Lepisosteus oculatus: one gene and its partner. The protein of the gene in region 2 purifies or fractionates together with the protein of the main gene of each other region. This does not show direct contact. Links are inferred from orthologs where the notes say so. Each region holds a gene or a part of one and is shown on either strand. Other genes may lie near its edges.

What was found.
Region 1: the proteins of stau1 (region 2) and ilf2 purify together in Homo sapiens (affinity purification with mass spectrometry; 3 studies listed by BioGRID). This does not show direct contact. The link is inferred for Lepisosteus oculatus from reciprocal best matches to the Homo sapiens genes STAU1 and ILF2.

Annotation. Positions count from the first base shown.
Region 1 is NC_090722.1:6,551,662-6,559,578, reverse strand, and holds the start of ilf2 (interleukin enhancer-binding factor 2 homolog), read left to right. Parts: upstream 1-4,777; 5' UTR 4,778-4,891; coding exon 4,892-4,896; intron 4,897-6,336; coding exon 6,337-6,396; intron 6,397-7,917. Other genes in the region: adar (double-stranded RNA-specific adenosine deaminase), read right to left, coding at 489-666; uncharacterized protein, read right to left, coding at 1,118-1,397, 2,111-2,649. UniProt on the Homo sapiens protein: Chromatin-interacting protein that forms a stable heterodimer with interleukin enhancer-binding factor 3/ILF3 and plays a role in several biological processes including transcription, innate immunity or cell growth.
Region 2 is NC_090711.1:9,426,968-9,434,197, reverse strand, and holds the start of stau1 (double-stranded RNA-binding protein Staufen homolog 1), read left to right. Parts: upstream 1-4,119; 5' UTR 4,120-4,317; intron 4,318-7,093; 5' UTR 7,094-7,174; coding exon 7,175-7,230. Other genes in the region: cse1l (exportin-2), read left to right, coding at 1-109, 763-852. UniProt on the Homo sapiens protein: Binds double-stranded RNA (regardless of the sequence) and tubulin.

The DNA.
Region 1 (7,917 bases), on a different chromosome or scaffold from region 2:
CCGAGCCGGTACAATACCGTCCTGGGCCAAGCCGTGCCAGACCACCCCGCAACGATACCACCCTGTGCAGCGCCAGCAGCGCGCTGAAACTACTGTGCATGCTGAACCACTGATGTCCCGACATCCAGCGACACCGGCAGGACCGGCCCTAGCGCCTGCAGAGCTCCGACTCGCGATCACACGCCCCCCGATGCCTCTAATTCTCACACGCACAGATGCACAGCCAGTATCGGCTCCGACCGACCCCCCCCCTCAGCGCGACCCGGGACCCCTGCCTCTTCCGCCTCCAGCCCACTCTCGCCAGCCTTCACTCCACGCACCCCGAACGTCATGTCGCGATACCACAGGCGGGTCGTGAGCGGCTGGGGGCCACATCTCCCGGCGCAGACCAACTGGGCTCGCCGCCGTCCCCGGCCCGACTCCCCGACACCAGCCACGCGTGTCTCCGCGAACACCCACCCGGGGCGAACGAGAAAGGCGCTCCCTACCTGCAGATGGATTAAGGGGTTTGGCAGTGCAGCTCAGGCTCCGCAGAGTGTTGTGGGCTCCACCGCCTCGCCGTCGGAAAACAGGAAGAGCGGCGCGATGACGTCGAAAACAGGCGACGGATTGGTTGAGGGGAGAGGAGGGGTAGAAGCCTGTGAAGGGGGGTGTAGGCTCAGACATCTGGGGGCAGCCTCGATGTGCAGGGCCAGTGTGTGTGAGTGTGAGTGCTCGGCAGTGAGTGTGTCAGCGTGTCAGTGCGTCAGGCAGTGTGAGTGTGTCAGTGTGTGTGCGTCAGTGTGTCAGTGTGTGTGTCATTGTGACAGTGTGAGTGTGTCAGTGTGTCAGTGTGTGTGTCAGTGTGACAGTGTGAGTGTCAGGCAGTACAGTCACAATTTCCAGCCCAGTTCTGTTTGGAGAAGTTTATTGCCTGCAGTCAGTTCAGTGCACAGGCACCATGTTCTCCACTACAGGTCAAAAATGAAACAAAAAGCTGAATGGTTTTAATTCCAGAAACAGAAAATGACATGATAACTGACCACTCGGCCTTCTACCTGTTCTGTACATCAACGCAACGATCTTTATATTCATCTTCTATTCCTCTTCCCTTTGAAGCACAACAGCTAGGTGCCCCTCATGGAACACCCCATTTTGGGGGTGTCCCTTGCTCCATTCGGACACGGCCCTCTCGCAGCAGTCTGTACAGGTGCTGATTGGCTGTTTTTTTGGGGACCCCCAGTTTCCGGGCGATGAGCGCAGCCGGGGCAGTGGTCCCCGACGGAAGGCCCTCCAGCACCCCCAGCACGTCCTGGGGCTCGCGGCGGGTCCCCTCCCCCAGGGCCAGGTGCTGGAAGCTGGCTGCCAGAGCGTGGGCCTCCCCCGGGCCAGCTGGCTGAGGCCGGGGCACAGGGCCACTGGGAAAGAGGCAGACAGGGAGAGAGGGGGAGGAGGGGTGGGGAGGGAGAGAGAGGGAGGAGGAGAGGGAGGGAGGAGGAGAGAGAGGGAGAGAGGGAGGGAGGAGGGGTGAGGAGAGAGAGGAGGGAGAGGCAGTGAGGAGGAGGAGGGAGGGGGAGGGAGAGAGAGGGAGGGAGGAGGGGTGAGGAGAGAGAGGAGGGAGAGGCAGTGAGGAGGAGGAGGGAGGGGGAGGGAGAGAGAGGGAGGGAGGGAGGAGGGGTGAGGAGAGAGAGGGAGAGAGGAGGGGTGGGGGGAGAGAGGGAGGGAGGAGGAGAGGAGGGGTGGGGAGAGAGAGGGAGGAGGGGTGGGGGGAGAGAGGGAGAGACGGAGGGAGGAGGGGTGAGGAGAGAGAGGCAGTGAGGAGGAGGGAGGGGGAAAGTGAGAGAGGATAGAGGGAGGGAGGAGGGGTGAGGAGAGAGAGGGAGGGAGGAGGGGTGAGGAGAGGGAGAGGCAGGGGGGAGGAGTGAGGAGAGAGAGGAGGAAGACGAGAGTGCTGAGCAGAGACACAGGACCGCTCTCCCTCTCTCTGCCTGGCACACCCACAGCCCCGCCCATCGCCTCGGCAGCGACGGCTCACGCCCACGTAACCATGGCAGCAGTCTGCCCCCAGTCTCTCCGCTAGTTCAGCCAGTCAGCGCTCAGGGCCTCATGCCGGCTGCCCCCGTCTACATACCTGTCCCTCCCGTTCGTGGCCGCAGTGTGCACGCCCGGCCTGCAGGGGGCGGCGGTGCGCGGCCCCTCTGCCCCCTCGCCCTGTGTCTGGCTGGGCAGCCTCCACAGCACGGGGGGCCCCTCCGTCTTGTCCACCTGGCCCCCGCGCAGCAGCGAGTACAGCTGCTGGTTTGCCGACTTCCGCGAGACGCCGAGCTCGCGGGCGATCCGGTGCGCGGGCAGCCCCCCGCCGGGGCCCGCCGACAGGAGGACCTTCAGGACGCTCTGAGGGTCCGGGGGCCCGGGTTCAGGGGACGCCCCGGTGGTCGCGCGTGGCTCCGGTTCCGAGCCCGCCAGGCTCCACAGCGGCGGCTCTGTCCTGGTCCGGCGGACCGCGCCGCCCCTCTCCAGCTCGTACAGCGCTCGGTTGACATCCCCGACCGGGGGGCCCCCGAGGGCCGCCGCGATCTCCCCAGCCGCGTGGCCCCTCTCGCCTCCCTGCGCCCCTGTCCGCAGGAACGCACACACGCGGCCCCCGACGTCCCCCTCGGACGCAGACATCCCTCTCCAGGGCGGGGCTCTGGAGAAGACCCCCACAGAACCGTCACCCAGAGTCACAGCACCTGCGCAGAGCAAGAGCTGTCAAGAACCAGACAGAGACAGAGAGAGAGAGGAGTGGACAGACAGAGACACAGGGAGGGAGAGAGAGAGGAGTGGACAGACAGAGACACGGGGGGGGGGGAGAGAGGAGTGGACCAACAGAGACACGGGGGGGGGGAGAGAGAGAAAGAGGAGTGGACCAACAGAGACACAGGGGGGGAGAGAGAGAGAGAAAGAGGAGTGGACAGACAGAGACACATGGAGACAGGAGTGGATCGACAGAGACACAGGGAGAGAGAGGAGTGGACAGAGACACAGGGAGAGAGAGAGAGGAGTGGACAGACAGAGACACAGGGAGAAAGAGAGAGAGGAGTGGACTGACAGAGACACAGGGAGAGAGACAGGAGTGGACCGACAGAGACACAGAGAAGGATGCTGCTATAGTGAGGATCACAGCAGGAGAAAGACAAGCAGGTGGGAAGAGATCAGTCCTGAAACAGCCAGTCTTCACCCACCCCGTGTCCCAGCGCAGACTGGACTCGCTCATTTCCCCCTCTACAGCGAGCGGGAAACGAGACTGCTCCCCGGAGGAAAAAAAAAAACTAAAATAAAGTCGTTTAAAATCTTCCACAACTAAAAATAATAAAAACACAAACGCCTCCCTCGCCGAGAGTCTGAGCGAGTGACCCGGAAGGGCTCCCCCACAGCGCCCCCGTGTGGCCAGCAGGGCGAATGTCTCTATTCGCCGTGAAGCGCGTTTTGTAGCTAACCATTAATTCTAATCGTGATTGTTCATTAAAATTACATCAACGAGGGGAACAAGAGCGCTGATAAGACGTTCAGAACAGCAGTAAAATCACAAGGAAAAATAACAAAGAAAAATAAAAGAGAGGTAGGTGTCCAGAAAAGCGCTATATAAGTGTAAGCAATTATTATTATTATTATTATTGTTATTATTTGCATTCCTTTATTGCACTTATTTACCGAGTCTCGCCATCGTGATTCCTCTGGTGCCGTACCGTATAATACCACATAATTATAATGTTAAGAAGAAGATAATAAGGCTCCACAGCCGAAACGTTTCCTTTTCTTCTCTTTTCAGCATGGAATAAACCTTTGCTGGTTCCTTAGAAGCCTACGATTGATGACACAGCTCCCTACTTGAACTTCCACACGACAACAACAACAATAATAATAAATCCTTACACGTATATGGCGCCTTTCTCAGTCCGCTCAAAGTGCTTCACAGGTCATGGGGACTCCCCTCCACCAGCACCAGTTAGTAGCCCCACCGGGATAATAATAATAATAATAATAATAATAATAATAATAATAATAATAATAATAATAATAATAATAATAATAATTGCTTACACTTATATAGCGCTTTTCTGGACACTCCACTCAAAGCGCTTTACAGGTAATGGGGATCCCCTCCAACACCACCAATGTGCAGCCCCACCTGGATGATGCGATGGCAGCCATAGCGCGCCAGAACACTCCCCACACAGCAGCTCTCAGTGGGGAGGAGAGCAGAGCGATGGAGCCAGTTCAGAGAGGGGGATTATTAGGAGGCCATGATTGGTAAGGGCCAATGGGAAATTTGACCAGGGATGTACCTCAGCCTAATCCAGATGTTTCTACGACAGGTTTCACACAACATTAACATACAGAGGAACACTTTTACCTGTGTGAAAAGTATTTCAGGTGTGTGCATGACTGCTTTTTATATTACGTGTTGTTTCTATGCTGTAAAATGAGATTAATACGTGGCTCATCTGAAAAATGAAAATGGTTAGCAGAGGATGGTTTCGATCCATCGACCTCTGGGTTATGGGCCCAGCACGCTTCCGCTGCGCCACTCTGCTAGACGCTTGCACTGGTGAAAAGTCACTCGCTTTGTTATTGTCCGAGTGTGTTCTGCAGTGCTGCGCTCTAGTGGTCATCATTCGAAAGTGCATCAGAGACTATTAGACGAGAACCAATCATGTGGGATGTTTGCCTGCGAGCCCCGCCCCCTACCCCACCTCACCAATCGCCTCTTGCTGTTGAAAAGCGTTTGGCGCCTGTGATTGGTTCCCTGGGTTGTCGATCTCGTTCGGAGACGCTGTTTCCCTGGGTAGTGAAGCAACGCCAGCGGACAGGTCGGCGGCCGAAGATTTCTCTTTGTGGCTTCCCTCAAGTTGTCAAGACGTCGTACGCAATGAGGTACAGTAATTCAAAGGAGATGGAAGGGAAAACTGTTTTTTTCTGTGCGCAATCTGACAACGCGGTGTGTCCTGGCAGAACTGAAATCCGGCTTCTCAAGTAGGCCTCATATCAGGCCTCGGGTCTCGAGTTAGCTAGCGTACCCGTGTCGGATCGGGGGTGTGTGCGCGCGTGCGTGGGCTCTGCATGTTATCGCTAAAACCCAAGTTGAAACTGCGTCCCCTTCGAATTCCATTTCCTGGCGTTTAGTGACAAGATGTGTAAAAGGAAAATGGCGTTTTTTTTAAAACAAAAGCTCTCGGAAGAGGGTGTTGTGCCGGGCGCTGGATGAATGAATGGCTGTAATCGAGCGGCCGGTCTGGGGCCTGCTCTTTGTTACCCACCGTGCCGGTTTCCACACGGCGCCGACCGGCAGTGCACCGAGGCCGGTGTGTGCTTCGTGACCTGGCCGCCGAGGTGCGGGCGAACCGAGGGTCTGTATGCCCGACGAGTGCCAAGGCACGTTCCTGCCTCCAACACCGTGCGGCTGTCCGGCATCGGGGGTCCCAGTCTCTGCGTGCCGGCTGGTTAGTGGCTTATCCTACCGGCCAGGGTGCTGGGGGGGGCTTGAGGTCAAAGATCCATGAACCTAGTGTCGGAGGGCCGTCTGGAATCGCCCTGTGAGGCACTGAGCCCGCGGGACTCGTGCAGGATGATCTGTGAATGAACCGACTGGCGACCACAGAGAAATTCAGAACAGGTGGCCTTTCCTTACACAAAGGGGGGTGTGTGTGTGGAACAAGCTGCAGGGGGTCAGTTAGCTACTAAATACCCAGCGGCTGGGCGGGCCCTGTGGCTCCACTCTGTAACGACCCCTTACATCCTCAAGACACGGGATCTTTATCGTGGTCTTGTGCAGCTCTACTGTTCACTTCAGTTCACGCACAGTTACCCTGCTGGCAGCCCACCGGAGCTCAGCATCCATCTCTGGAGGGGAGACCTCCTGGGAAAGCTGAGGCTGCAGCTGGAAGAGGTGTTAGTGGGACCAGCAGGGGGCGCTCACCCTGCGGTCTGTGTGGGTCCTAATGGCCCGGTACAGTGACGGGGACACTATACTGTAAATAGGCGCTGTCCTTCGGATGAGATGTAAAACCGAGGTCCTGACTCTCTGTGGTCATTAAAAATCCCAGGGCATTTCTCCAAAAGAGTAGGGGTGTTACCCCGGAGTCCTGGAGGTGCTACAGTCCGTCATGGAATTAACCAGGTGGACCGATCGTGTGACTGGAGCACCTGGTCTTCTGCAGGCGCGGTGGGGCTCACTCGAGCTTGCGTCTCTCTGCGCGGAGAGCAGAGGGGTGGCCTCGCTGCTCTGGTCCCGACTGGCCTGGTGGAGGCGGCTGGCTGGGTGTCTCTCCAATCCAGTGATGGAAGCATCTAACATCTCTCTCTCTCTCTCTCCAGAGGCGACAGGGGGCGGGGCCGGGGGGGCCGGTTTGGAGCCCGCGGAGGGCTGGCGCAGGGGTGAGTAGCTGCTGGTGGGGGGGACGTGCTTACTGTACCTGTGCAAGCAGTCGGACACCCCGTCGGTGGCAGACTGATCCACTCCGGGTTTTACAGTGTTGTTAATCAGACTCCTGGCATCCAGCAGTGCGCTCCAGTCTGGGGGCTAACAGTGTAGTTAATCACACCACAGTGCGCTGCAGTCCGGGGGTTAACAGTGTAGTTAATCACACCACAGTGTGCTGCAGTCCGGGGGTTAACAGTGTAGTTAATCACACCACAGTGCGCTGCAGTCTGGGGTTAACAGTGTAGTTAATCACACCACAGTGCGCTGCAGTCTGGGGTTAACAGTGTAGTTAATCACACCACAGTGCGCTGCAGTCTGGGGTTAACAGTGTAGTTAATCACACCACAGTGCGCTGCAGTCCGGGGGCTAACAGTGTAGTTAATCACACCACAGTGCGCTGCAGTCTGGGGTTAACAGTGTAGTTAATCACACCACAGTGTGCTGCAGTCCGGGGGCTAACAGTGTAGTTAATCACACCACAGTGCGCTGCAGTCTGGGGTTAACAGTGTAGTTAATCACACCACAGTGCGCTGCAGTCTGGGGGCTAACAGTGTAGTTAATCACACCACAGTGCGCTGCAGTCTGGGGGCTAACAGTGTAGTTAATCACACCACAGTGCGCTGCAGTCTGGGGTTAACAGTGTAGTTAATCACACCACAGTGCGCTGCAGTCCGGGGGCTAACAGTGTAGTTAAGCACACCACAGTGTGCTGCAGTCCGGGGGTTAACAGTGTAGTTAATCACACCACAGTGCGCTGCAGTCTGGGGTTAACAGTGTAGTTAATCACACCACAGTGCGCTGCAGTCTGGGGTTAACAGTGTAGTTAATCACACCACAGTGTGCTGCAGTCCGGGGGTTAACAGTGTAGTTAATCACACCACAGTGCGCTGCAGTCTGGGGTTAACAGTGTAGTTAATCACACCACAGTGCGCTGCAGTCTGGGGGCTAACAGTGTAGTTAATCACACCACAGTGCGCTGCAGTCTGGGGGTTAACAGTGTAGTTAATCACACCACAGTGCGCTGCAGTCTGGGGTTAACAGTGTAGTTAAGCACACCACAGTGCGCTGCAGTCTGGGGCTAACAGTGTAGTTAATCACACCACAGTGCGCTGCAGTCCGGGGGCTAACAGTGTAGTTAATCACACCACAGTGCGCTGCAGTCTGGGGTTAACAGTGTAGTTAATCACACCACAGTGTGCTGCAGTCTGGGGTTAACAGTGTAGTTAATCACACCACAGTGCGCTGCAGTCCGGGGGCTAACAGTGTAGTTAATCACACCACAGTGCGCTGCAGTCCGGGGGCTAACAGTGTAGTTAATCACACCACAGTGCGCTGCAGTCTGGGGTTAACAGTGTAGTTAATCACACCACAGTGTGCTGCAGTCTGGGGTTAACAGTGTAGTTAATCACACCACAGTGTGCTGCAGTCTGGGGTTAACAGTGTAGTTAATCACACCACAGTGCGCTGCAGTCCGG
Region 2 (7,230 bases):
GGCTTTCGCAGGGAAGAAAGAGCATGACCCCATCGGAGATGCCGTCAGCAATCCCAAAATCCACCTTGCACAGTCTCTCCACAAGCTGTCCACAGCGTGCCCAGGAAGGGTAAGTGACCACAGCTTGGCTTCCACACGTAGCAGAAGTCTGTGTTGGAGTTGATGTAGAGCTATGTGGGACAGGATGTTTGCGCTCCCGGCAGACACAATGAACCCAGTGTACTAATCAATTTCCCGTCCTTAAAGTCAACTGAGCATTTCACACTGGGTGTTCCTTTATGGCACGAAGCTCTCTTTGCAAAGGCAAGTTTGTTCCACACTTTTTTTTTCCCCCATTTAATAAGTTTTTTTATAACTTCTTTGAAGTTTTTTCTTATTGTATTGAAGCTGTTTATTTCAAACGTAGGTTGTGACTAAGAATTCAAGAAGCTAACAACTTTAAATAGTTTGATTGCTTTAAAGCTAGGTTATTTTTTGTCAGGGTTTCATGGCAGTCCACTGTTAAATGTGTAGTGCTCATTAAAACCTCTTTGTCAAAAGGGCTATTTAATACTTATTAAAATAAGACTTGCCTTATTTAACATAAAGTAAATAGAGTATATGAGGGAGTTCTGTGCATATTTAATGTAAACAAATTGAAGTCTTTTTTTTCCAGAAGGGTTTCCAAGTATATTTCATAATCCAGTTCAGGTGTATAAAACTTACACGTTTTATTTTTTCGTTCTCTTTGAAAGAAGAATGTGATTATTAATGTTTTTCTAGGTTCCCTCTATGCTGAGCACAAGCCTGAATGCTGAAGCACTACAGTTCTTGCAAGGCTATCTCCAAGCAGCAAGTGTCCAGCTCGTGTAAGACTTAGGACCCTGAAATCAAATCATTGAAAACCTGCTGAGGACAATAAGGCCAGGATGAGAATTACAGAAGGTCGCAGGAATCATCAGCAAACTTTGTGAACCAAACTCCTTTATTCTCTCACCAGATATTGATCTTTGACAGAAACTTTTAAGGATTTTAATTTGGTATTTCCAAAAATATCATGAATTGTCTTTAAGGTAAAAGTTGCAAATGTTGTGATCTAGAAACTCATACAGTGAAGTTTTACAGACCTCATTGGGACAGCTCTCGCATATAAGTTTCTTTGGACTGTTGTAAAAGCATTTTCTGTTACTAGTATCATTTTCTTTGTGTAAAAGAAGGTAGGCAGTTGAGTTTTCACTAACCTTCTGTTACATGCTAGAAAAGCTTTGTAGGAACTTTTTTCAAGGGGGATTTCTTCAAATGCTAGTCAGAATACCTTTTCATGTATAACTACATGAAATCTTATCAGTTTGCAAAGGAATAGAGAAACATGTTAATCCTGTGTATGAGCTATGAGTTCAAACAGATCGCAGTTGTCTTCTGGCCGTGCAACACCCTTGTTCCCATCCTGCAAATCCACGAGAGGACTGTGTTCATTTCAAATCTTCTTTTGCAGTTTTACTGTAGATCAGAGTTTTCTGAGAGCTCTTTGACAGCAGCATTTTTTTTATGCTTCCACCATTCTTCTAAACCATTTGTATCTTGTATGTCTTTATTTATGTCTTGTCTCTTTAGTTTCTCATGTTCCAAATGTGAATAAATAAAAAGCACTTGTGTATATTCAGTTTTTGTGTACTTGTGAACCTACAGTACATGTACTACAGTCCAGGACCTTGAAGGTAATCAAAGGTGGATGAAATGCTAAGTTTATAATCATTTGGTTACATTTAAGATTTCTTCAAAATGACTATATTGCCTTGATACAAAAATGTGTAATCTACATGCAGAGTTCTTTAAACAGTTGGTGTAGTTAAAGGATTGATCACCTAAAAATTACAAGGATATAGATTGTTGACTTATGGATTTGTCTTCTCAAATGGATGCCAACATTAATGCAAATTTTGAAGTATGACATTGCATATTTTGAAAGACTGAACTAAGTTATTCCTACCAACATTTAACAAAGTGTAATGAAAAACAGGATGATTAAAAACATGTTGGATTAAAACACTTGGAACATTCACTTATGAAAATCTCAAGTAACTATCACTCAAGTGATTTGGGGTTTTCTGAAGTGTACCAGTGAATTGGCTTGGTTCCATTTTTCTAGCCTTCAGAAATGAGAGTTTAAGAGTGCCCTTTAACACCTGTTGGATTGTGGCTTTTTGAGAATGGGCTTGTGCAACTACAGCATCAAAATGATGCACTGCTGTTATCTCTAACATTGTTAGATTTAAGGTTCTTTATGTCTAGGAAATACCAGGATAAATTGGATCCACAGCCCCTGTCCAGTTCTGAGTGACAGAGGTGGAACTGGTAACCACACCCTTCCCACAATGCTTGTCCCATTCTATTTGAGGGCCGTTGGCACAGTTTTCTACCCATAATTTTTCAGTCCATGGCTGTAAATGAGCGTGGTATCATCGAGCTCCATAAGAAGGATTGAGCAAGATTGTATCCAACAGTACATCAATCCATTGCTAACTTGCTTCTTTAAGGAAATCAATGCTGATCATTCCTTTTACTACAAATACAGTTCAGAAAATCTGTGTATACTTTTATGAACTTTAAGAAATTCTGAAGCACTGTACAATGTAATTGAATGTAATGAATTTTGGCAGCGCGTTCCAGTGTAGATGGGGAGCATACAAGAAGGCTTTGCCATCCGTTGTGAGATTCTGTGATCGAAAGATCTCAGGTTATGAGTTGGACTGGACACCAGTCCATCACAGGGCACACACAAGATGGACTCCCGCAGCAGGGTCAATTAAACCAATGCAAAGCTGTAGTGCAAGGCCAAAAACCTAGATGAAAGTGAGGAGATGATAAAAACTCCATGCTGATGGCACTGAAAGTCTGAATATGAACCCAGAGCCCCAGAGCTGCAAGGTAGCAATTCTGACTACCGTACCAACCCTCTACTTAACCAATATATCTAACATCATTTGGACCTAGACATTTCCAGGCCTCACACATGACCAGTAGTACCTGCTAGAGTAGTCCACCCTATATATCACTGGGAGCCTATTAAAAATTATACAAGACCGAAGGTAAGTGCTGATGCAGAATACATTTAGTTAGCACAAGTCTTAGAATTCCTGACATTTTAGCCCATTTACTATCATATAAGATTCTATTGGTCTAATATTGGTATGCATCATGTTTATATAGTATCAGACAGGCCAAGCACTGGTTCTAGAGTGAGCGGTGTTCTGCAGGCAGAAGGAAGTGACTTGTGATGTTCCTAACATGCACTTCTAATGACAACACGGATTCGGAAGCAAGTTTTCTGTCTTCCATCAGAGTTTGGATTTCAGCACCATTCACAATAACATGGAAGTCGTCTGTTCTATGCTGTTGATGTTGGGAGCCTAGAATTTCAGCCTAGTCGCAGTTTTGCTAAAGAAAGTTCAGCTGCTTCCATATGTTACCATCAAACACCTATAAAGCACAATAACAGCAGCAGTAGCATCCAATTTGATCTGGAATATATCTTCAATTACCATTGCAATGAAACCTATGACCATTATGACAAATGATCTAAGGGACACCATATATAAACTAAAAGATGAAGGCCCCAGCATTTTAGATGTTTCCTCATTATATTATAATACTCTAATGCTGGAATAATACATGCCTGAGTACCATGCTGATGAAAGCTCTGGACGGGGCTGGGAATGATAGCACCATACCCTTGAAAATACTAATTGAACATCTCCAGCAGTTAGTTCCAATTAACCCTCCAACCCAGGTCTCTTCGATAGTTTACGGTGCTTTGTGATACCATTATCAATATTTCACAGTATCGAAGCTGCAATTCATGAAGTCACAAGTTGTTTTCGGTCTTGAGGTATTCCAGTCAAGAGGGTGTTTTCACGCCCCCTATCGTCCAATAAAAATGTAGCATGTTAATAAGTAAGGAAGAGAACCGGCGTTAAATGATGTATAACATCGTTTATTAAAATTATGAACAGCCTGTGTTTTGCAGTCTTACAGTAACGTACACAAGTTATTCATGATATGGCTCGCATTTTTTGCAGCTCGTTATTCCTTCTCGATCTCTCCAGACCGGGGCACTTCCTGCGAGCCGGCTGAGGTCACTTCCGGAATGGGAAACCGAGGCTGGGCCATTCTCTTTAGTGTTTGCCCTGTTTGCCTTTTTCTCACCATAACACTAACATTTTAATAAAAAAATAGAAGAAAAATCCATAAAAGTGGAACAGATCAAATATAAATCTCACATACCGTAGCTCATGGAGTAAAGAAATCCTTAACTGCTGGACTGAAACATAAAAAGAGGTGAGATCTTGCAAGCTTTTTTAAATTTTTGATTTGCAATCACATTGTGTGCTCTGCTCCACTGTCTTGTGCTACCTTTTACCTTCAATTGAAACGCACGGAAAGCGTAAAGTTTTATTCGACGAAACATTCTTTCCCAAATCAACACATTATTTTTAAAATCCAGGTGGGGATTAATATGCTCGTTTCTGGTAGAGGTCAGTAGCTTTGTAAACCAAACAATAACATTCAACGATCTGGACGGTGTTGTTATTCTTGTTTTGTTTTACAATCGCATTGAGTACTACAGAGAAATAGTTGCGCATTTAAATGTGGTATCCAGAAACGTGGTCGATGCGGTTAAATATACTTTATTAGTGGGTTTTTATGTTTATGTGCATTTTTACAGCATTGTTAGGTTCCGTTTTGTAACAATACACCATGAATGAAGTTTTTTCTTAGAAACAGGTATATTTCTTTATAAGAATATGCTATACTCGTCCCCCTGTCGTGTCACTTTGCTGGCACTGAAGTAGCCAGATAATATTTCGGGGGTATTAAGGTGTCGTTAAATCTCACCCAGAAGTAACGTCATTTGCATTTGCCGCTTTGGAAAAAAAAATGCTAATGTTGCAGTTCTCTCAAACCATGTTTTCTTTGCTTTGGAGTACTTGAGCTTTCGAAATATTTTGGCGACGTGATTTCAACAAAATAACAAATTAAAGGCCACCACAACTCTTGTTTTCGCAGTGCACGGTATGTTTGCTGGTAGCTACAGTAGTGTCGGGAGAGGTTACGAATGCTAACGAGCAGGTCACGATTTTCTTGAACATGCCGTGATTGCACTTCAAGAGAATCGGACGATTGTCTGTCTTTATTTTTAAATGTCCATTGTTCAGCACTTTCGGTGTGTCCAGGCTTAGGTGAAGGATAGTAGGCCTCAGACCAGACCCTTACGATTTGGGAGAGAACACTTACGGTTTTAAATTGGTCTGGTCAATTTTAGACGCCTTCCGTGTCGTGAATTAAGCTGTTGTCCACCGTGAAAGCAAACAGGTTAGCGTGCATCTTCTGGTATGCGTAGTCGTCGAAAATAATATGTTTGGAGAGTGCAGGGGGTCGTCTGTCTACTTGGAGAAATCTTATTTGGAGTTCGTTTGTACGCGCCTCCCTCCTAATTTTAAAGTTAAAATGAACATTTTACATCTGGATAATTTTAAGTCTTTTGGTATTGAGCAAAGTCTCTAGGTTTACCATCCCCGCATTCATTAAAATTTGACGTGATGGATGGATTAGTCTTAACACAGATTGAATAGGGCTGGTATTTAGTTTTCGCAGTTTTTGTTTTTGAAAACACCTCAAAACAACACTGTATGTTCATCGGAGCTGTAATTATTAGTGGTCACGATTGTGGGAAATCCCAAAGATAAATATCAGCTTATAATGATTCTTGGCATTATAAACACAGTAATTTAGCTGTTTAAGAGGAAACACTGTTCATACAAGGGAGACACTTGCAGAGAGAAAGACCTACCATTTCAGCCACAGGGGTTGTGTGTCCTGGTTTAATTGAGATCTGCTAAAGTTATGTATGTGACACATCCAGGAATACACAGAAATCGCTTGTGCAGTGCACTGGGTCTGTCTTGATGTTCCTGCCATTCATTAAGGCTTTGGCCAAAAAATTGTTTTGGTAGTCCACAGTAACAATCTTTTTAATAACAGGAACAATTTTATTTTATATAGTGCCTTTCATGTTAAGACACCTCAGAGCTTCAAGAAGTCAAACGCACTTTTGATAGACTAGAGTTGTGACTTAAATATATAAATAAGTGGGGCTGTGATGTGATTTTGATCTCTTTAAAATAGTTTTTGCCTCTAACTTGCCTTACCTTTTTATTTCAAGCATATGATTCTCAATCAAGAGGTAGTTCTTATTGAAGTATGCTCAATACTTTTGGCTTTGTGCCTGACAGGTTATTAAAACTTACCAGAAAAGCATGTTAATGTTTTAGAATTCATACTGTAACATTCAGACATAAAATGGAATTGCAAAGCAAGATGATGCTGCTCATTAGTTAACATTTAAGATAGTTTTAAGATAAAAAGATAAATAATCTTCAAATGTATATAGCACTTTTCTGGACTCTCCACTGAAAGCGTTTCACAGGTAATGGGGACTCCCCTCCACCACCACTAATGTGCAGCCCCCACCTAGATGATGTGATGTCAGCCATAGTGCGCCAGTACACTCCCCACACACCAGCTATCAGTGGGGAGGAGAACAGAGTGATGAAGCCAGTTCTTAGATGGGGGTTATTAGGCCATGACTGGTAAAGGCCAAGGGGAAATTTGTCCAGGACACCAGGGTAAAACCCCCTACTCTTTTTGAGAAACTCCCCAGGGATTTTTAATGACCATGGGTAGGTAGTCAAGACCTCTGTTTTACATCTCAGCTCACAAAGAAGGACTTTGCTGTTTTGTTTTGCAGTATAGTCTAAAAAGCTTACAAATTAGTCACTTGCATGTGTGATATGTAAAGGCGACTTTAGATGTAATTAAACCCTGTTTGTATGTATGATGTGTTTACTCTGTGCTGTCGACCAGTTTAGTTTCTAGTTCTGCTAACTACATTTCTTTAAAAAGAATTAGACTGGATTCATTTTTAAAACCCAAACATTACCTAACCTCAAAAAAGAGCAAGATGTCCCCCGTACCATATGGCTATCGTTTTTGGATATAATCTTATCTGAGTAAGCATCCCACAGTACACAAGCTTTTGAATTATTTTTCCCAGGAAGAGCTTTGCTGGATTACTCCAAACTTGCGCTGAACCCCTGTGCTGCGTGCTGTGAAAGTCTTGGAACCGGACGTCAGTATGGCCCAAGTTCAGGTCCAGAGCCCTGCTGGGAGCCCCCTGTCCAACACTACACA